Schizosaccharomyces pombe: one gene and its partners. Changing the gene in region 1 together with any one later gene gives a genetic interaction. Each region holds a gene or a part of one and is shown in the gene's direction. Other genes may lie near its edges. The genes, in order: mog1, nxt2, def1 and cid13.

Evidence for each region.
Region 2: of mog1 (region 1) and nxt2, a mutation in one rescues a mutant of the other (synthetic rescue), as found in Schizosaccharomyces pombe (one study listed by BioGRID).
Region 3: of mog1 (region 1) and def1, a mutation in one rescues a mutant of the other (synthetic rescue), as found in Schizosaccharomyces pombe (one study listed by BioGRID).
Region 4: of mog1 (region 1) and cid13, a mutation in one rescues a mutant of the other (synthetic rescue), as found in Schizosaccharomyces pombe (one study listed by BioGRID).

What each region holds. Positions count from the first base shown.
Region 1 is NC_003421.2:2,246,217-2,250,401, reverse strand, and holds mog1 (Ran GTPase-binding protein Mog1), read left to right. Parts: upstream 1-2,196; 5' UTR 2,197-2,237; coding exon 2,238-2,810; 3' UTR 2,811-3,041; downstream 3,042-4,185. Other genes in the region: cell wall and secondary septum 1,6 branched 1,3-beta-glucan synthase catalytic subunit Bgs4, read left to right, coding at 1-1,123; Golgi rhomboid protease Rbd2, read right to left, coding at 3,487-3,799, 3,954-4,185. UniProt on the Schizosaccharomyces pombe protein: Involved in the Ran-GTPase system for nuclear protein import and poly(A)+ mRNA export. Required for mitosis-to-interphase transition.
Region 2 is NC_003424.3:2,400,150-2,404,603, reverse strand, and holds nxt2 (nuclear import protein Nxt2), read left to right. Parts: upstream 1-3,008; 5' UTR 3,009-3,031; coding exon 3,032-3,038; intron 3,039-3,080; coding exon 3,081-3,163; intron 3,164-3,232; coding exon 3,233-3,304; intron 3,305-3,356; coding exon 3,357-3,458; intron 3,459-3,536; coding exon 3,537-3,644; 3' UTR 3,645-3,954; downstream 3,955-4,454. Other genes in the region: serine/threonine protein kinase S6K family Sck1, read left to right, coding at 1-237, 354-1,044, 1,094-2,060, 2,111-2,303; GATOR2-SEACAT complex WD repeat subunit Seh1, read right to left, coding at 4,069-4,087, 4,142-4,454.
Region 3 is NC_003423.3:568,617-575,442, forward strand, and holds def1 (RNAPII degradation factor Def1), read left to right. Parts: upstream 1-2,321; 5' UTR 2,322-2,444; coding exon 2,445-5,336; 3' UTR 5,337-5,704; downstream 5,705-6,826.
Region 4 is NC_003424.3:982,468-989,171, reverse strand, and holds cid13 (cytoplasmic poly(A) polymerase Cid13), read left to right. Parts: upstream 1-2,151; 5' UTR 2,152-2,424; coding exon 2,425-4,161; 3' UTR 4,162-5,605; downstream 5,606-6,704. Other genes in the region: tif308 (translation initiation factor eIF3h (p40)), read right to left, coding at 1-424, 604-710, 750-775; protein Slf1, read left to right, coding at 5,917-6,704. UniProt on the Schizosaccharomyces pombe protein: Polymerase that creates the 3' poly(A) tail of suc22 mRNA.

The sequences.
Region 1 (4,185 bases):
TTCATGGATCGGATATTGTCGATTAACCCGCACTAGAATAACTGGTTACAAACGTAGGGTACTAGGTCAACCAAGCGATAAAATTTCAATGGATACTCCACGAGCAAAGTTTACGAATGTTTTCTTTAGCGATGTGTTAATCCCTGCCTTGTTAGCTGCTGGTGCCATTATCCCTTACTTCTTTATCAATTCTCAGCCTGGAAATCCCATGTTTATCACTGATCCAAATAATCCAAGCCCATATGTTCATGACACAAAGACAGGTACTAATCCCATTTTGCGACTTGTTATTATCTCTCTCATTCCTATTGCAGCAGGCTTTGGTATGTCAGGTTTCTTTGGTGGTATGGCTTGTTGTTTGGGTCCAGCCTTTGGATTGTGCTGTAAAAAGTTTCCATCTATTTTTGCTGCAATTGCCCACACGATCCAAATTTTCATCTTCATTGCTATTTTTGAAGTCTGCTGGTTCCTTGATGGATGGTCATTACCCAAGACTGTGTTGGCCTTCTGTGCTGTTACTGCAATTCATCGTTTTATCTTCAAAATTTTAACACTATTATGTTTATCTCGTGAGGTCAAACAAGATAGTGCTAATATTTCTTGGTGGAGTGGTAAATGGTATGGCAAAGGATATGGCTATCATGCCTTTACTTTGCCTGCTCGTGAATTTGTCTGTAAAGCCATAGAACTTAATTTGTTTGCTACTGATTTCTTCTTGGGTCACTTATTACTGTTTTTTATGCTTCCTGTGATTTGTATCCCATATATTGATCGTTGGCATTCAGTTCTTCTTTTCTGGTTGCGCCCAAGTCGTCAAATTCGTCCTCCTATTTTCTCTACCAAGCAGAATAGACTGCGGAAACGTATTGTTCGTCGTTATTCAGCCTTGTACTTTTCAATTTTGGTAATATTCCTTATTCTTATTATTGTTCCATTGGCAGCTGGTGCAGAAATCCGCCAAGGATTAACTGCTTCTGAGGCTGTTGCCAAGGGTGCTGTTGGATGGAACCAAACTAACTCTTCAATTGGTAGCGGTATCATTCAACCAAGGGACACGAATTATACTGCTAATTATTCTTTCTGGTACGACAGATACCATTTCGAATTCAATACCACTTACTAGATGGGATTATTAGAAAAATCATTTAAAATGAATTTGAAAAGATGCGCTAGTTCGCTATTATATTACACTGATGTTCTGATGAGCTTTCGTCAAGTATCTCAGCAATTTATTAATTTTATTTGTTACACTCATTTCATTCATACATTTCAGCATGTGCTTGGTCCCATCTCTTCGACTTGAGTTATTGAGCTCTGAAGGATAAAAGCAAAGCTAAAGGGTTAACCGTTTATCATTTTTTACTCATACCATCTTTCTATCTACGTTACATTTGCTATTTCACCATTTACAAGTTTGAGATTGATGAGTTTTGTTACAAGCCTTTTCAGGTTACAGTTTGATGGGCTAGGATTTTATGCATATATATACATTTCTTCATTTATCTATATACAAATGAATAAGAATTCCCATTGGTTCACAAAACTTTTACCTATATTATTGCTGGTCAGTTAATGGATATTTGTTTAAAATATAAGGTGATGTAATTGTGTAAAAGTATTGAAGTAGATTATGATACCGTACATAAATTGATCTTTTGGTTGAATACTTATTATCTAGTGAACGTTTAATTTAGGTTTTTCAGATCAATAGAAAGTTTGAAATAACCACTCTAGTGTGCAATTCCATTTCTCTTTTGTATCACACAAGTGGAAGGCTGAACAACTAATCAACTTAATCGTAAAAGTTATCAGACGCCCTATCCTTGTATTAGTTATGGATATCTGAATGGACTCATGATTACAAGATTACGAGCGTCCTTTCATCCATTTGATATACTAGTTGTCAAAACGATATTAGAAACTATATATGTGTACAAAATTTTATTTTTAACATATCATTTTCATTAAAAATCATCAATTTGAATTTCTTTTTATTTTAATTTTAAATCAGTTTAGTAGTTACCGTGCAGTGCGTAAATATTGAAAATTGAATCTAGGCTCATTTAAAGCGTTTTACTAGCGATAAATATAATAATGAAACATAAAATAACACGCACTAACTTGTTACCGCAGTCGAATGAAATGGAGTGAAAATAGGAAAGAATCCTTTTGTGGTTCGAATACCAATCTGGTTCTTGAGACAAACAAATCTATTAGGTTTTTATATTTTTATAGTAATGGTACAGCTATTCGGTGGGGCTCTTTGTGCTGATTTCCCTCCTAAATTTCTCGATGCTAGCGTTTTGCGTCAGATTCCTGACAACCAAGAGGTGTTTTTGCAAGATTCCAAGGAAAACCTAACAGTGATCATTGAGCTTTTGGAAAAAATTGAGAAGCCATTTGATGGAAGTGTGGCAGCTTACCATTTCAATAGCATTGCATTCGATAATGATGCATCTCAAAGAGTAATTTGGAGAGACAAAAGTCTTGGTGAAGACGACTTTGAGGGCATGAGAAGCGAAAAGGCTAGTGGATCTTCTGTACAAGGTTGTCAGAGGGTCCTTGAAAAAGGAAAGCGAAATCCTGAATCCGCTACCAATGTGGCAATCTTCGTGAATGTGATAACTTTGATTGACTTTCAAACAGATATCGTAATCTCCGTAAATGCTCCTTTACCTAACACTTCCTCAGTTCCCTCTTCTGTTGAAAACATTCCCCCTTCTGATCAAAGCATCGTTCGCGCTGCTCTCGAAACAATACAGCGAGTTACTCGATCTCTTGTACTTGTCGATAAAACAGTATTTGCTTAAAGGATGATGGACATAGGCAAGCAAATTAACTAGCCCACAACACTTAATTAAGATTTTCATCTAGGGAAATACTTTTCAAGTTTTATTTTTCTTTATCCGAAAGGAATTGTTTCTCTTATTTATAAAAACCGGTTATTCCAACTTGTATGAAGGGTTTTAATAAAAACATCTGATACTTGATAACCGATTAGCAATGGTTTTCACTTTTTCTGCTATTATTTTAATTTTCCCATTCTTCCATTGTTAATAGTATAAGTTTCACTGTGTCTTTACAGTTTAATGTTTTATGATTTGAGAGTACAACGTAAAACGCTAGTTTCCAAAGAATAACGGAAATTACAATTTCAAGGTGTTTTGATTGTACAGCTTTTGTCCTTTACACTGCCGCTGTAGGACAGTGGTGATTAAAACAAGTTAATCATAAAGAATTATTAAACATTAAAATACTTTCTAATTGTCCCTAACTCCGTGCAAGTAAAGAACAAATATAGCGAATGAAACAATCTTTATGATTGAAACCTGTAAACGACTGACTAGAAAATACTGAATAAGAATTACCAAAAGATAGAAGATCTCTTCATTGAGAGGAGCTTTTCCACCCTTTGCAATAAAGAAAACAAACATTTAGGATATCATCATACGAAGAAGAACAGAAAAGAAGTAAAAGACAGAAAGTTCATCCCCCAAGACGGGTTCCTTTTCCGGGGAAAGAAGAAAAGGTCGACAGAGGTTCCGCAATGGGGAGTTGAGCATGCGACAGTTGATCAAAAGAGTGATAGTTTTTTACCCAAGACTGGAAGATTGGGTCCACATTTTGAGCCCAGCTTTTTAAGGGGATAGAACCAAGCATGAAAGGAGTACAATACCCCATAACAGCTCCGGATGCATGCCCGATAAAGCTAGCTTTTGGAACCAATATGGTAGTCATAATTAGGTAAATAATAGGAAAACAATATGCAGGAATGCTGAAAAGATTAAAAAAGCTGATTCTAAAAAATAAGTTAATAAACCGCCATCATTTAAAAGACAAGAGAGGTTCGACGTTTGCAAAAAATCATACAAACCAGGTTGTTTCTTAACATTGTGAGGAAAGAAGACGTGTGGAAGTATGCATCTGCAACCATAATTATAAGAAATGCTTACAATCGTTGTGGAGAGTGAACACAGGAAGCAGAGATAAAAGCAAAAGCCCATCCACTAAGTCCAGCAATAGAAACGTAATCTTTTCTCAAGAAAAAATGGTAGACAATTAAATGCATAATACCCGGGAAAAGAGTGTAAGGAATGACCGTCACCAAAATGCACGCCAAAGTGCCTTGCTTCTTTTCAAATTGAGACATTGCTGGCAACAGGGATACAAAGTTAAATACAATAT
Region 2 (4,454 bases), on another chromosome or scaffold:
ACCGAAATTTTCGGTAAATTGCATCGATCATCAAATTCTGAGAATACAAATCAAGCATCGCCATCCACAATACAATCGCATTCAACGCAACCGGTTCTTTCCAATGACCATTCTACGAAAGTAAACGATTACGAAGGGAAAGAGGGTGCTTCGTCTAATGGCTATGATCCCGTTTTCATGTCGGATCGGATGAAGATGCGTTACAATGAGATTACAGCTCAGCTTCACAAAGAACAGGTATGTTATAATTGATTTTTTGCTTGAAAGACAATCTTCCCCATAGCTTTCTTTATTGTGTTTTTCAAAAATCACTGTCTCCATAAATTGTTGTTCACTTGGCTAACCTATCATAGTCCTTAAAGGAAGATAAAGAATCTGGTTCTAATAGTTCCGAAAGCAATGGAATTACACCAATGGGTACATATTCAGAAAAACCCAAACTACTACAGAGTCGTACACCTCCATCTTCGTGTTACATTAGGCATGATACCGTTGTGCCAAAAGATAAAAATGGTCAGCATGCTTTTGGACGGCTTTATGTTCGATTACATCAAGGTAGAGATTTGAACGTCAAAAGTGTTAATGCACAACCTTATGCAGTAATCACCTTTGAAAAAACGCAGGTTATGGTACCTCCTCCTTTTAAAGACATTGACGGTGGGATACCCATTTCCATTCCTTCTAAAAACCGTCCTCTTGCTGGATCTGCTTCCGGTTCTTCTTCTGGACTACATTCTGAGCTAATGTTGGCTGATGTGCGTTGTCCTCATTGGGATTTTGAAACTGTATTTGATGTGACAAAAATGAAAAGTCAAATGGTTGTATCTGTATATGACAAATATGAAGACGATAAATTTTTGGGCTCCGTTAAAATTACACCAATTTTCCTACATGAATATGTGCAGGAAGCATGGTATAAGCTTGAGCCTCTTGACTTAACTAAGTCTCTGGAGGGTGAAATAAAAGTGGAAACAATTTACGAGCACATTGAACATGTTCGTTATGGGCCAGAAGATTTTACGGCCCTTCGTTTAATCGGAAAAGGTAAAGCTGCTTTAAGCTAAAAAATTTACGGTATACTAACTTTATTTAGGCACTTTTGGGCAAGTTTATTTGGTCCGTAAAAACGATACCAATCGGATTTATGCTATGAAAAAGATATCCAAAAAATTAATTGTTCGTAAAAAAGAGGTTACACATACCTTGGGCGAAAGGAATATACTTGTCAGGACTTCATTAGACGAATCTCCGTTTATTGTTGGTTTAAAGTTTTCCTTTCAGACCGCTTCAGATCTTTATTTGATAACTGATTATATGAGTGGAGGCGAACTTTTCTGGCATCTTCAACATGAAGGTCGCTTTCCTGAGCAAAGAGCTAAATTTTATATAGCCGAACTTGTTTTGGCTCTTGAACATTTGCATAAACATGATATTATTTACCGAGATTTAAAGCCTGAAAACATACTATTAGATGCAGATGGTCATATTGCTCTTTGCGATTTTGGTTTGTCTAAGGCAAACCTTTCAGCTAACGCAACTACTAATACCTTTTGTGGAACCACCGAATATTTGGCACCTGAAGTTTTACTTGAGGACAAGGGGTATACTAAACAGGTCGATTTCTGGTCTTTAGGAGTCCTTGTCTTTGAGATGTGCTGCGGATGGAGCCCCTTTTATGCTCCAGACGTCCAACAAATGTATCGTAATATTGCCTTTGGAAAGGTCCGTTTTCCAAAAGGAGTTCTTTCATCAGAGGGTCGAAGCTTTGTTCGAGGCCTTTTAAATCGCAATCCAAATCATCGTTTAGGAGCAGTTGCTGACACTACTGAATTAAAAGAGCATCCTTTTTTTGCAGACATAAATTGGGACCTACTTAGCAAGAAGAAGGTTCAGCCGCCTTTTAAACCGAATGTTCAAAATGATCTGGATGTTTCCAATTTTGATAAAGAGTTTACCAATACTAATGTGAAAAATATCAATATAGTTTCCAATGTTGATCCCGCTAATGCCTCGACACCTCTATCCAACACGATTCAGGACAGATTTCGTGGTTTCACTTTGTAAGTTTATTTTTAAATATTTGACCATCAACTAACCTTAAACTTTATAGTGTCAATAAGTCCATTGATGAACAGTTTCAGAACCTGGGACTACAAGAAAACGAAGAGACAGATAATTTACATGCGTGTCGCACAACAACCCATTCATCGGTTAATTCAATAAATTCACATGGGAATCCACGTACGGTGGATGCTAACGATCCCGTCGCAGATACTGTGTTCGGCGAGACGTTCGAAGCTTGATAAGCTTGCTCCAATCAAAAAATTTGTCTCCTATTATCCACAATAGAAGATAACTTATTATGTATTATGTTCCCCTTTCGTTATAGTTATTTTGTCTCTCAAAGGCTTCGCTCCGTGTTTTCTAGTTTACCCAGGAATTAAAGCAAACTGTGGGTGTTTTGCTTTTGTTTCCTTCTATCCTTTATTATTTGTTACGTTCTATTTTGTAGTCATCTTCATATTTTATTATGTGAACATTTAATAGATTAAGTTTTACATTTTTATCCCAACTCAAATACTTGTTGCTTTCTTTTAATTATGATTGAAGGTGCATTAATTATGCAAAATGTGAAATACATCGTTATAAAAAAGAATGTAGCATTTAATAAGCAATCTTCACAATCAAGTAAATATTATGTTCCATTTCGTTCATGATACTAGTTAGACGCTAGCACCATATTTTTTCTCATAAATTTTGTCTCAATAGGAACGGATAAACATCTATCCTGTTGTTTGCATGAAGTAAAACCCCTTCAAATCTTATTGCAAATTCGTTTTTCTACCATTGCCAATACTATTCGAATAGAGGACTTTTGCCAAATAACACAACTATAAGTTTATCATGTTATTTTACATATTAAGAGTTGTATCATTTTACGTTAAATTACTTAAGGTGTCTGTACGATCTTTTTTGACGCGATTTTTCGAACTTGAAATAATAGGTCTACCTTTTACCACCATCTTTCATTATGGCTGGTAAGATAAAAATTTGTATGATTTATTGCTAATACTCTGCAGACTATAATGCTTTGGCGACCCAGTTCACTCAATTTTACTACCAAACTTTCGATTCCGATCGTTCTCAACTTTCTTCACTATACGTATGCGACTTCTAATTATGAAATTAATCCTACGTGTATTTATCTGGGCAGCTAACTTATATATATTAGAGAGAAGAGTCGATGCTGAGTTTTGAGGGAGCCCAACTCCAAGGAACTAAAGCCATTGTGGAAAAACTTGTTGTATGATAATAACTGAAACGTCTTCCTTTTTTTTATTAACTGTTTGGTATAGAGCCTGCCTTTTCAACGCGTTCAACACCGCATCTCAACTTTGGATGCTCAACCTACTGGTACTACTGGATCCGTAATCGTTATGGTTACAGGTGAGCTTTTGGTAAGTTATAAGATTGATGTTACTTATTCTATTCATTTTTTTTTTTTTTGCTTTGCTCTTTTTTTAACCTTTTTGTAGTTGGATGAAGAGCAAATGGCCCAGCGCTATAGCCAAGTTTTTCACCTTGTTAACAATAATGGTAACTACTATGTCTTAAATGACCTGTTTCGTTTGAACTATGGTTGAAGAATATCATAGTGAAAATATTTAATACAAGTATCTTGATTATCTGCAATTTCATTTTCTTTTTTTTTATGCTTTTGTAGCGATTACCGGATTTTCAAACTACAACCTGTAGCAGATATAGCTTTTTGAACCCATCGCTTGTTTAGTTCGTTAAAACAAATTTTCGAATTGAACTCTACCTAAAAGTTTACATTAAGACTTAGTCTAATTTCGAAGTTTTACGCTAAATGAAAATTTAATCTCAAAGCGAATGTTAGTTCACTTGTCTAAAATTATAAATTAAAACCAAAAATTTATAAAGTAATATCTCCTTTTTTACAATTTGGTTATGATCTAGCTGGTAAATATGAAATAATTTAAGAAAGGAAACCAAGCAAGGTCGGCCATTCAATGTATCTGTTACATTAAAATTGAACTAAGTAAATCACAATTTTTCAGGTTTTCTGTCACAAGTTAGTATCATATATTCATGAGGCCGAAAGCATCTCTGAACTTACTTTTCTAAAGAAACGACAGATATGCATTTAAATAAATTTGCATAGGACGCTTTCCATAAACGAACGCACCCATCATCGCCCGAGCTGCTCAAAATAGTTCCTGTCACATTAAAACGGCATCTCCACACTTGACATTTATGGTTATCATATTCACCAATGAGTTCCACCTTCAAAGAATTTAGATTGAAATTTGAGTCTTCTGTCATTGAATTTCCAGCATCTTCTTCCTCTTGAAATACTTCTTCGCAAAGGGTTTCAACTTTAAAAATACGAACATTCCCATCTTTGCATGCAGTAGCTATCAGGTAATAAC
Region 3 (6,826 bases), on another chromosome or scaffold:
CAGTGCTTTTACATACTATAAGAAATTCAGTCTTGCCATTGTATTACATATAAACTGGTTTCCAATAGTTTCGAGAAGGGTCGATTTTGGAAAGGGTTGAAATCGGTTTAGTTTATGATATTTTCAATAATGTTAAAATACTGTTTGTCGTTTTAACTTGGGACTCGTCTTGGCTGATTTGAATAAACCACTGAAGTTTTTTGTCTTTCTTTTTTATTCCTCTGAATCGGAAATACTTTTCCCGATAAGCGTTTCGAATGAATAGAATTGAAATTGTTTTGTCCCTTTACTTTCTACTTATATAAAAGAAGACGCACTTCTTTTGGAGACATATTCTCAAACAACACAAAATATGCTGGATTGTAAATACTCAGTTTAAACACATATGAGAACTTAAAGTAAGATATCTTTATTATCAATTTATTTTATTAGCTTCACATGAAGGAATATAAATTACATTTATTTCAAAACCTGATTAATACTTGTTCGCAGCTTTAGGTATGTGTATAAATTTATTAAATATGCTTAGTAACTGTCTACGGCCACACCTAGGCGAAAACACCAGTTCCCGTCCGATCACTGCAGTTAAGCGTCTGAGGGCCTCGTTAGTACTATGGTTGGAGACAACATGGGAATCCGGGGTGCTGTAGGCTCCTTTCTTTTTTTTTCGGAATATTATTTTATTCTTACAATGTTAACGGCTTCACTGAATTTTTTATGCTGCTTTGTTGATGATACTGTAAAAAATAGTGACAAATAAAGATTTTGAAATATATCAAACCTATCTGTAAACATTTGAGAACAATTCTAGCGTACGAATTAACTTGTCCATATCTTGTTGTCATACGAATGCACTGTTTATTGTTCATCGTTGACAGTTTTCAATGTAAAATCAATTTTTTATTTGAGAAAATGGTTTCTAATGTGCCGCTTTTGTTAAAAAATTATAGTGCAACAATAGATAGATATGCTATTCCTTGAAATGTGGGTTTCTTTTCATTACTCTTTACAGTTTTCTGTTATGTTGTCGTTTTGAAAATGGACTCTTCACAAGAAGAGAGTATTGACTTTAGCAATTTAAACATAGAATCTTAGCACGTTTGATTTTATTATTTTATAATTAGTTAGTCATTTGAATTGCCAAAAATGGTGACTTAATTTTGGTTACTAACAATTGAATAAAAAAATAAAATAAAAATAAAAAGAAGAAAAATCAATATAAATTGCGAGATGATACTACTAAAGTTCACAGCAATTTTTTTTAAAAAACAACGAAAATTTGTAAAAAATGACAAAATTAAAGATGAAATAGTAAAATAATGCGAACGCTTCATCAAACCATTTGACACATTAGTTATAAGCATTGACAGAAACTTTGATAATAATGCTTTTAGAATTTATCTTAATATAACTAGGCGATTATTCAGCTGTACAATTTAGTTTTTTTGAATAAATTATAATGTTATTTTATCAATATTCTATGTTTTTATAACTCTACAATTAAATAGATATATGCTTTTTAATAGAGCATTCTAACAAGCTTTGGTGGTTTAGTGGTATAATGAATCGTTGCCATCGATTCGACCCGGGTTCGATTCCCGGCCAAAGCAATGTTTCTTGTTTTTATTGTTAATTTAATATTAGCAGGCTTCATATTTATTTTTTTAGATAAAGGGCATCACGTTTATAAGTGTGGTTCACTTGAACCCAACAAAGTGAATGAAGAGCTTCGAATGTTACTGAAGCCGCGTAATTAGAACGGATGGATTATTACTTGAAGCAGTAATTAAAGTTTTCATAAATTGACCAACTGAATACCCGATATTGCATTGCAAATTTCTAAACATACCAACGTGTTAGGAATCTGTAATAGCAAAGCATGGAACGAAAGGTGTTTAGTCAACTTGAATTTAGCTAAACGAATTGCACATCTTTTAACAGTATCGAAGAAATTGGGCAATAGAAAAGTTAATACAATGAGCTCTACTTTCATCATATTTTCATGTATTCAGGCAAGCAGCTAACTAGCTATTGTCTTAAGAGCAATAAAGATACACAACGGTAAATCGTTAAATACAATAGTAAACTGCACTCCACTACTATATAAATCAAGCTTTTAGAAAAGGTAATCGCAAAAATGAAGAAAAAGTAAAGTAAAATTTAAACAATAACATTGTTCTTTATAACGTTATAAGTTTTTCTATGTATAAAAATTTCAAGGAAAGCTATAGTTTGCACTTTAGCGCATTCACTACCACCTTGCTCTGGTATAGGCAATTTCCATTTAAGCAAAAGCACTATGCTGCACGACACCAAAACGCAGCCAGAACCACTACCCTTAAATAACACGAAAAATCTTGCATATCGTCTTGAAGCACGAATACACGTGCCTTGTCGATTTTCAAGACCTGTATTAATTTTTGTAAAGAAAAGTAGAATCAAAAATGAGTGAGAATAAAAAGTTTCGGCCAAAGAAGGTCGGAAATACCGAACAAGTTTCAGAAAAGCAACACACAGATACAGCGTTAAATATATCGCAAGATAATAAAACTTCATCCTCTTCCGCCAAGAGAGGAGCGAAGGGAAGGCGAGGCACCAAAGGAAAATCTGGCCCGGCAAATTCGTCTCAGACTAGTAATATAGAGGGATCAAATGCGCTTGAGCTCGAATTTGATCGTGATTCGCAGTTAAGCGTATTGCAAGAGCTGTTTCCTAGCTGGACGATTGATGATTTAAGTTTTGCTTTAGAAGAAGCGGACCGGGATTTGGAACTGACCATATTGCATATTACTGAAGGTCACGCCTCCAAATGGGGTGAAGTTAAAAAGAAGCCAATCCCTAAAACAAAGTCCAAACCAACAAGTCATGCTCCAGTTTCCGATAATGTCTCTTCCACCTTTCGTAATGCTACACGTAAATCAAAGAAACCTTCCGCTTCTAAGGATACTTCTCGGGGGGTTCGAAAATCAAAAGCAGGAGCTCCCTCAGATCCTTCTTCCGTTCATGCACCATCCTCTTTAGAAAAGCCTGCTGGTACTGGCGATCTTCCTTCCTCAGAAATTTCTACCAAAGCTCCTGCATCAACGACAGTGTCTTCTTCCGTTGATCCTGGTACTATTAATGAAGATTCCTCAATGAAAGATCATACTACATCTAATGAACAAGCTTCAGTTTTAACATCGGCTAATACCGCTGCTTCAACAAATACGAACGGCACCGCAGGCGGTACTTCGGCCTCAGCAAAGTCGACCAGTGCGGCTGATCAGGCTGTTGCATCTTCAAAGCCTATAAAGAAGGCTTGGGCTTCAGTTGCAAAGTCGAAGAAAAAGGTCACTCCCGCTCCCGCTCCCGCTCCCGAATCCGAACCTTCTAAACCCTCTATCGCTCCTTCTCAACCCTCTAAAACTAATGTTTCCGCTGCTTACGAAAAACCTGCTGAACTGTCATCCTCATCTGTTCCTTTCCCTCACAAATCCCAGGACTCTGCAACTCCCGCAAATGTTGAAACGACCCCCTCCACAGCTACCTCAGCTCCCAAAAAGAGTACTGCCCCATTTGCCATAAATGCAGTCAAGCCCGCTCCTGGGCTTTCCAACATCTCTTCTGCTTCCCTACCTAAGCCCTCCTTTGCGAAGCAAGCCGCTGTTGGCTCTCAAAGCTCTACAACTAGTATGACTACTGCTCGATTACTTTCTGATAGATTCCCCGTCGTTATGCCTGTTGCTAATACTGCTGCTATTCCCGAAAAGGTTCAAGTGCGTTTCGGAAGCTTGACACTTGGGGGTGAGGACAAAAAATCGACAAAGTCTTCTTCAGACAACATAGCACAGTCTGGACCAAGAAGTTCCTATTTTCCTAAAAAGACAGTTTCACCAAAGCCAGAGGCAAAAAAAGAGGCGAGCAAAGTTGCTGAATCCACCAAAATCCCAAAGAAACAACACACTTCAGCATATGAAAGCCGTGCTCCACAATCGAAGGTTCCCGAAAACTTGAAGGAATCTCATGTTAACGAGACACCATATCGTGGTTTACACGATGTAAATTTACCGGCCAGTGGAAACGCCTCTTCTGTCTCGGCCATCCCTCCTCAAGTATCAGCCCAAACGACTATACCCGCTGCATCCACAAGTGCTACAAGTGGCCCGGTGGTTGGTAAACAAAGTGCCGGATATGGCGGTATTTATTCTCCTGCTACACATGGAATTTCCCCTCAACCATATGCTGGTGCTAGTCTTATTCCTCCGTCTACCGGAGCTGCTTTTAACAACGAAACTGCATCTTCAAATGCTGGGGAGACAACTGCACTTCCATATTCTTCTAGATTTATGAATCCTGTGGAAAACCGCTCCGCCAATAGCCCATTCGACAATTTTCAACACATCGACCATAGTACTGAATTGGGATATGCTTCAAATACTTCTCAACAATATCAACAGACTAGTCATCCAGCATACACTACTATGTCTCCTATTGAATATGGTCAAGCTGCACCAGCAGCTCATTACTATAATGAGCGTAATCAATACTCACAATATGATAATGTCGCTGGTAGTGCGTCGAATACACCAGATGTGCACTCGGTAATGCATAACAAGGTTGCATCTTCTAATGCTACTTCTCTACCTGCTGCTGGAACAGCGACTCCTAGCCCTGTTGTTTCTCAACAACAGCCCCAACCTTATGCATTTCCTCCAATGTATCCTATTCCTTATGTGTCTTATGGATACGGTACGATGCCTTACAATAATAACAAGTTTGGACAGCCCCAGCAAGGATACATGTCTCAGAGCGGCTTTAATGATTTCCCTCCCATCTTTGGTGGACACAGCAACGTGTACAACAGACAACAGCCTGGCAATGTAAGTGGTATGAGTGGAACACAAACTAGCAACCCAATTAATAATGCCACTGCAAATACTAGCGGCATGACTGAGAAAGCGGCTGGACATCGTGACTCTGTGATTGGAAATGGAGGCGTAACCGGGGCGAACAGCATGTCAAGTACTTTGGGTGGTTTGTCTTCCATGTCAGGGATGGGACGTGCGGCTCCTGGTATGTTTATGGGTAATGTTGGAAGTTTTGAAAACCTTAGTGCCAATGCGGCCTCTCCTTATGGCTTACCTCCTCAACAAACGCCATTGACCAATGCTGCTACTCAGCAGACAACCTCTTTTCAAAGCAATGCTAACAAGGTCAACAATGCAAACAGCCAACCCGCTGGGTTTCCGTTCAACTCTGGAGCATCTACCAATGCAGGTAGTAATGGATTAGGAGGCTATAATGCATACAACCAGTCATTTATAAACCGACCAGGAGGTTGGTACGGTAATGCTTAAATTGAACTTATGATCAAAAAGTTTGATAACGTAGAAGTTGGAAAATGCTTTTTATAAGGATTCAAAAATAGGCTAAAAATAATTGCGGACAAGATGCTATTAATGGAAGGGTAAAATCGATTTTATTGGGACAATCGAATTTATGAAGTTTTTCAATATATATATGTGTGTGATTTATATGGCTATGTGGTCACATGTGTTTTCTGTTTGATAGTGCTTAATTATGTAGTTTGAAATGTTGCTTGTTCATATCATAACATATCATACCACGCCGTAATGTTGCCATTATATGGTAATTCCTTGTATGTTCATAGAGTATTTTTTTATTGCATTATTAAAACAAACTGGCGTTTTGGAAGAGGGAAAGGGTAAATAAAGATTTGATGTTAAGGTATTTGTAGGTGTGGGTAAGCAATGCGAAGTGGGATAACTAGTTTCAAGTAATGATTATTATATTTCCAAAAGTCAAGTGCTAATGAAACACGTTTAATCAGTTGGCAATTTAGGGGGGTGGTTCACTCGGCATTCCTATTTTAAACAATTTTTGACGGCAAATGTTAAGCGAATTCGCTAAAGCAAAGTGTAAAAAAAAAAAAGCTTCGCTAGTAATATATGCCACACTTCAGTCAACAACACTACGTCAACCCTATACGCTAAGTCTACTGAATAGAAAAACTTGATACTTTTATTTACATTGAAATGAAGAGCAAATTTGTATAATACGTATTATTGATTCTAGAAATATAGCAAATTGAAACATCCAAATTTAGCAAAACAGCATGTCGCTGTTGTAAAATTCTCATGAAAAAATAGAATGTCTAACCTTCACTACTGGCAAGATTCGTTCATGTAGATGTAGTTGAAGAAGAGACAGTGTCATACACAAACGTAGAAAAAGTTCTGAAAAGGAAAAAGACTCCTAGTAGATTATAATTCAAATCAAATCAAACCAATTAAATTCAATAGATCGATGTCTTGAAACATTAATTCCTATAAGGTTGAAAATAGTAGCAATATAACGCAAAAATAGCGAGTCGTAATAGCAAGTAAAATGGTAGTCATTATAAAGGGTTAACTGTATTTCAAGTATAAAGAACGGAGAAAGTTGGAGCAATGGCAATAACACATCGAGGAGTAATTTAGGAAAGTAGTGAGAAAGATGTTAGAAAGGAAATTTAGTAATTTGTAAGTAATGATTTCAGAACTTGGAACGTGAAAGGGAAAAAGATATTTTCATCATAAAGAAAAATTTGCCCATCGTGAAATAGAGAAATAGTGAGAAGAAAACCACCACCGAAATAGCGAGACCCGCAGTATGTTACTTCACGAGTCTCGCTATTTTAGGATTGCATAGGTTATCGGATGGAATCCAGTAAACAAATGGGTAAGGAAAAGTGCGATCAATGATGAGTGGGTTGGGTTACAAATCAATATAGTCAGGTGAAATTAATTCGTTTCTCGATATAAAAGCAATTGAGAAAGGAATTGGA
Region 4 (6,704 bases), on another chromosome or scaffold:
ACATTGGAAGGAGTCAAGTTGTGGCTATTGAGGGAGGAGGCGGTCCAAGTTTTTTCCTCATGGGCAGCCATAAACTCTGGAGTTAACTGATAAGCACGCATGTACAAAGTTCCATTAGAAGATTGAGACAAATCATAAAGAAAAGCGATACTGTTGGGGTTTGCCTTTTGATAAGCATATTGCGTTTCTACAAAAAAGGGGCTACTTAAGAATGAACTAACATAGGCTCCCAAATACCAACCAACGTGACCAGTAACAGCACCAATGTACTGAAGACGATTAAGCATCGCCTCAGTATGAGCTTGGCGTGCTTTACCGGAAACAGACTTGTTAACAGCAGACTCTTCATTTTCAAGAACAGACGGAGACTCGAAGCTGCTACTGACTTGTAAAACACCATCAATGTCAATACCAACAAGCTGACCTGAACGAAAGTTAGTTAAAAATATTATTTCAAGAGAGAAACTGTGGTTGATAAGAAATTTCACTAAGTAGAGCATTACTGAGCTGACAAATGCATAGCTGCATCTTTGATGCAGAAAAATTGCAAGTTTTATCATTTCGAAAAATAGGGAAAACTTATTCTCCAATGACTACACTTACCAATTGTTCCCATATTAGGAAAAGAATCACGGCAGTGCTTGATGATATTCATTACAAGTAAAGATTCTAATTCCACCCGCTCAATAGGGGGAGACTCCAATTCTGGACTACTGAATTAGTTATTTATATATCTTAGTCATTCTTACACATTCAATGAAGTTGTATCAGACATGTTTTTTAAGTCTGCCAAGTAGTTGGTTGAAGTGCAAATTGCTGTACGAACTTCTAAAGGAGTTAGTGTTCACCAGTTTAATGACAAGTAACAACAAGTAGCAACTTTTTAAAGCCATGGCTGTCGGCGATTACAAGTTATAGAATAGAGGAGCCTACCAGTTTTATTAAACCTTTTCTAACTAGTTAAAAAATTTGTAAATTTTTTTTTTGTTTTCTCGGCCTTAAGCTCTATTTTCATGACTTCTTTTACTAATTTACCGAAATATGATTTTCATGCTTATTGTAATTTAAGAGCAGCTTCACCGCCTTGCAAAGTCTTTTTAATATAGTGTAATTGACACTGCATTATACTTGAAAGTTCAACATTATTCGTTGATTGGAAATGAATGTGACTGCTTTTCCGTTATATTTACTATATATACGGGTCATTATCCTCAACAAAACACTATCGACGATACTCCATAGGATCATTTCTATAGTATACGTCCGGCTTGGGTTTCCTAACCTAGCCACAGAACTCAACACGGATGATGATAGGAGGCACCGTTGCCCTCAGAGTGAGGACTTTTAATTCTTTGAAGGCATGCTTTTCGATTAGGTTTTTTACCTAATTGTTTTGCTGTCTTTCTATGCGATGATCTCTTACATGATATGTTTCCTTTTGGTCGTATTATGTAGGGCAGCTGGTGTTTTCTGACGTGTTTAATTTCATCTATTATATTACAACTGTGGTGTCGTTTGATGACATAGATGTAATTTCTAGATGAAGTTGTGTCATGTTTTAGCGTAGATTTTAGTGAATAAATGAAACGATTTCAAATTCCGTTAGATTGTTTGATTTATGTTTCTTATTAAAGGAGTCAATTGTATGGTATTTGGAGTTAGATGGATAGCTTACTTGGCGGCGTTTTTTATTTAATATTGTCTGCTGTACATTCGTTAGTAGTAAAGTATTACACGAACGTTTCCACTCAATTGGAAAGTCAAGTCCATGCTTTGTGGGAGCAACATTGATCATGTATGTTTATGTATTGCTAGTTTGTTTATAGAATAACGCAGATTACGGAATCACGCTATTTAACGTCAAAACGTCAAGAAAGGTGTCAATTATGCTCGTTGTCATGCCAACGTCATTGTTTGCGTTTTTTCTTTGATGATTACTTTGTTTATTGTTTTCAGTTGAAGATTGTAAAAATATCATTAGCTGAACGTTGCTTTAAAGGTGTCTTACGTGAATATATTAAGGTTACTTTATAACGGCGTTGTATATTCATTTGTTACTTATTTACCGATCCTATGTTGATGCCGTACTTGTTCCTTGTGTAGGAAAGCTGATACCTATGTACGTACGTATTGCTGTTAGGCGGTTCTTTTATCCCACACCTCTTCCTAAGAATAGCTACAAACATTACCAACTTCATATTAATTCATCAATACGATCTTGAAACTTAGAAGTACTTCTAAATTGTCTTTTCTTGTCGATAGGGCTCGTACATTTGAACTGTTCTTGCTGGATCGTTTCAGATCAAAGCTGATCATATTACAAAGAACTCACGCCTTTACTAGCTGACAAGGTAGGATAACGTCGGAATCCATAGAGAATTTGCAACTTATTAAACCTTAGAAGCTTCTTACCCTCTTAATACTATGGACAACGCTAATTGCGTTGGCGGTTGCAAATTTGAAACTCGCAGCTTTCAATATAGAAGGCGTATTCCTTATAGCCTCGGTGCGGATCCACTTCCGCCAGTACATCCTCTATCATTAAAGAATTTAGTTGATATTGATACTGATCTAATTTCTTCTCAACTGTACGAGTTGTATGACTCTATTATACTGAACGACTCGGGTTTAGAACGTCGATATGCATTTGTGCAGAAACTCGAACAAATATTGAAAAAAGAATTCCCCTATAAAAATATCAAAACCTCCCTTTTTGGGTCAACCCAATCTCTTCTTGCCAGCAATGCATCAGACATTGATTTGTGTATCATTACTGATCCGCCTCAATGTGCTCCAACGACCTGCGAGGTGTCAGCTGCCTTTGCTAGGAACGGACTTAAAAAGGTCGTTTGCATTTCAACAGCTAAAGTGCCAATTGTAAAGGTTTGGGACTCAGAATTACAACTATCATGCGATTGCAATATCAATAAAACTATATCTACCTTAAACACGCGTTTGATGCGCTCTTACGTTCTTTGTGATCCCCGAGTTCGGCCCTTGATTGTTATGATTAAATATTGGGCAAAAAGACGATGCTTGAATGACGCTGCCGAGGGCGGTACACTCACTTCTTACACCATAAGCTGTATGGTTATAAACTTTTTACAAAAGCGCGATCCACCGATTCTTCCCAGCTTGCAAATGCTTCCTCATTTACAAGATTCGTCTACTATGACTGACGGGCTGGATGTGTCGTTTTTCGACGATCCAGATCTTGTTCATGGTTTTGGTGACAAAAACGAGGAGTCTCTTGGTATCCTGTTCGTAGAGTTTTTTCGATTTTTTGGTTATTTATTTGATTACGAGCATTTTGTTTTATCCATTAGACACGGTACCTTTCTTTCGAAACGAGCAAAAGGATGGCAATTTCAGCTTAACAATTTTCTGTGTGTTGAAGAGCCTTTCCATACATCTCGAAATCTAGCTAATACTGCAGATGAGATTACCATGAAAGGAATACAATTGGAATTTCGACGTGTTTTCCGTCTTTTAGCGTATAATTGCAATGTCGACGATGCTTGTTCGCAATTTACTTTTCCCTCTCTAACTGACACAAGCTTTATGGACGATTATGTAAATGAACTACAATTGGAAATAGTTCCTGGTTTCTCCCATGGTCGTGACTCTTCGGACACCAGCTGTACAGAATCCCCTCCTGAGCCATCACATTTTGCTTGGGCCTTTGATCCTTATAATGCAACCGCTTCTCCCTATTATAATCAGAATATTAATTCATCCATTGACTACTCTTCTATATACTCAAACGACGTCCCTGCAATCCCTCCCAATGTCCCTTATACCTTTGTTGACCCTTACACCTATGCATGCTATATTAATAATAATAGCTATCTTCCACCCTCATACATGGACTTTTATACATGGTATAATTCTCCCTACCCCAAATCTTCACACCATTTTGATGAGAGGCATGGCGGGGATCGTCACGAAAAAAATTTGTCTAATTCTCGGCGATATTCTCGCAATAAGTTTCACAAAAAGAAGCAATCTTCGGGTCCATTCCAGTACTATCCTGATGCCTTCTCTTTTACTCCTACGGATAACAATTCACCTCCTTCAAATTCCTCTTCTTCTGAAGTAGTATCGCCAGTTAGCTTACACAGTGAGCCGGTATTATCCACAGTACAAGCATTCAAGAGTTGATGCTGAAGGTTTGGTGACGTTCGCTGATGGTTCGTTAGTAGCTATCTTTCTATCTTAATTTTTCTAATTCATACTTTTTACATTATTTTTGCATATTGATTTCGCCAATACTTGAGCCTTATTCGCTTGCCCGCTTTCGTTTATCTTTGTTGTCCACTTTACTTCTTCTTTTCTTTTTCCTTTCTTCCGTTATATTTAATGATAAAATGACTTAGGAAAGTTTTTTCATTTTATTATTTGCAATTTTTACTATTTACTATTGGTTTTCTGGTTATGTGTGGAGTTTTCGGCTCAATTATATCGTTTTACTATTTATAAAACTATTTTTCCCTTCTATTGCACATACGAAAAATTTTGTTGAATGTGCGTTTTCTTTGCGTACTGTTTATCGCGAGAATTATTTAAAAGCCTAAATTGTGTTCTTAAGTTCAGTGGAAACATTAGCATTTGTAAAGGTTGATATCTTGGTGGTTTTGCATATTAGCATTCACGAACTATCAGTCTTTTTAGGAACTATATCTTCTGTCTAGATTGCTTTTACTCTTCACTCTTATAAGTTTAATAACTTACAAGTACCCCCTATCCCTTTAATCATTTTGACCGTGTTTCCCCTTCCTCTACCTACAACAAAACTTCGTACTCAGTTTTCGTTGTCTTTACATTTTACCCGCCATTGATGGCTTGAATAGTGTTGTCAGAACATATTTTGTTTAAATTCTGATTTGGTTTAAAAAATGAGAAAACGCCAAAAATTAAAAAAAACACAAAGAATTTACCTACTATATGGTACATTTTGAGCTAGGAAAAATACTAGCAAGTCTTACGAGATGAACACTAATCGCTTTTCAGTTATTGAGTTTGCTAAGAAGTTTGGATTTCATCACGTTTATTTACATAACTTTTTTTTGCAATTGATTAGATCTCCTTGAGATGCTCCTTGTCATGGGAATAAATCTTATGCCATTGATTTTAAGCAACGGGTTTTTACATACTCTGTCGAAAGCCTGCACAGGAGTGAATCATCAACCCATTAATGTGAGTGCGAACAAAGCACTGGTATGAGTTGTACAGCATGGGAAAATGTTTTTTTTTATTTTTTTTTTTAAATATCTCTCCCCTGCTGAAATGATAGTTTGATTGATTGAATAAATCTTTATTTACTACGTTGCCTTGTTACCGTTGTTTTTTCACATATCCATCACACTTCACAGTGTTGATGGATTTACTTTAGTTTACCTAAAGCTCTGTAAATTTTTATTGAAGAGTTTGATGCATTGCATTAAATCAATTTGCATATCTTTAATTTTACATGACTTGCCTAACTTTTTTAACGATAGTTTTAAGGTAAAATGGGTTAAGCTCAATAGTGTTAAATAGCATAGTATAGCTTTTTGCGGATTAACAAGAGGTAAGCATGATCAACACCGTTCGATATTTAATGCGGTTATCCGCATTGATGATGTCACTCAGTATACCGTAGTACGCAAGGTGAATTCACTCACTAAGTTGTTTTGCTCTTCCTTGAACTCGAAGATTGAAAATTTGAGAGCGGATTGAGTGAAAAATTGGGGTTTTTTGAGAATTTAAAGGAAACTCGAAAAACGTTCATATTCGAATAGCTCAAGAGGTATTGTAACATAAATTTGAGGTTGTTCGGAATAAAAGGGGGAATTTTTCAAAAACGGCAAACGCTGCTTATCGAACTTTAGAGAGTAATAGGGTTCAGGTGAAAACAGTTTGCGTGTATTTACTTGAATGAGCTCTATAATCCAAAATCCAATTGAATCTTCATACTTTGTGGAAGATTTATCGGCGGTTGGAAATAGTCAACTTCACAGTGGTCGGTCACTTACTTACGGCGATCGAAAAGCAAACATAGACACTAGAAGTGGTGGAGGAAGAAGATTTTGGAGTAATTTAAACGATTCAGGGAACAGTTTTGGCGCAGTACCGGCTTCCTCTATGAATTTAAGTTACGGACCAACGAAAAGCGCAACTATTTCCTCGAAAGATGGAGCGATGTCTCGCAGTAGTCGTTATTATGTCTCATCAGAATTAAAGGCTACCCTCCCTTCTCTAGATGGACGTCGTTTGAGCAAACGAAACGCTGCTAATCATGCTTCGCATCATCGCATGCCCGATGAGTCAGCTAGCTATCGCACACGTGGGGAGTATGAAAGTAGCTCTCCTCGAGTACCTCAAAAATCTTTAAGGCGTTACTACTCAACTCGTACTGCTCAACGTTTGGACGTTCGACGTCCCGCATCGCGATCGAGTCGATACAGCAAAACAAGCGATCTTCCACCTTCTGACCCGGGGAGATTTGTGGACGATAGCGATTTGACTCCCCACACAGACTTTACTAATCGATTTGTGGATTCCGATTTCGATCCTGATTCAGGAGTAGGCCGTTCTTCCTCCCCTGATCAAATGATGTCGAGGAACAATAATCTTAACATCAATGCCCGCATGACTAGTACTTCCTCTAAACCTTATGCCAAGGAGAATCAACAACTAATTTCCTCCATGGCTCCAGTAGAGCA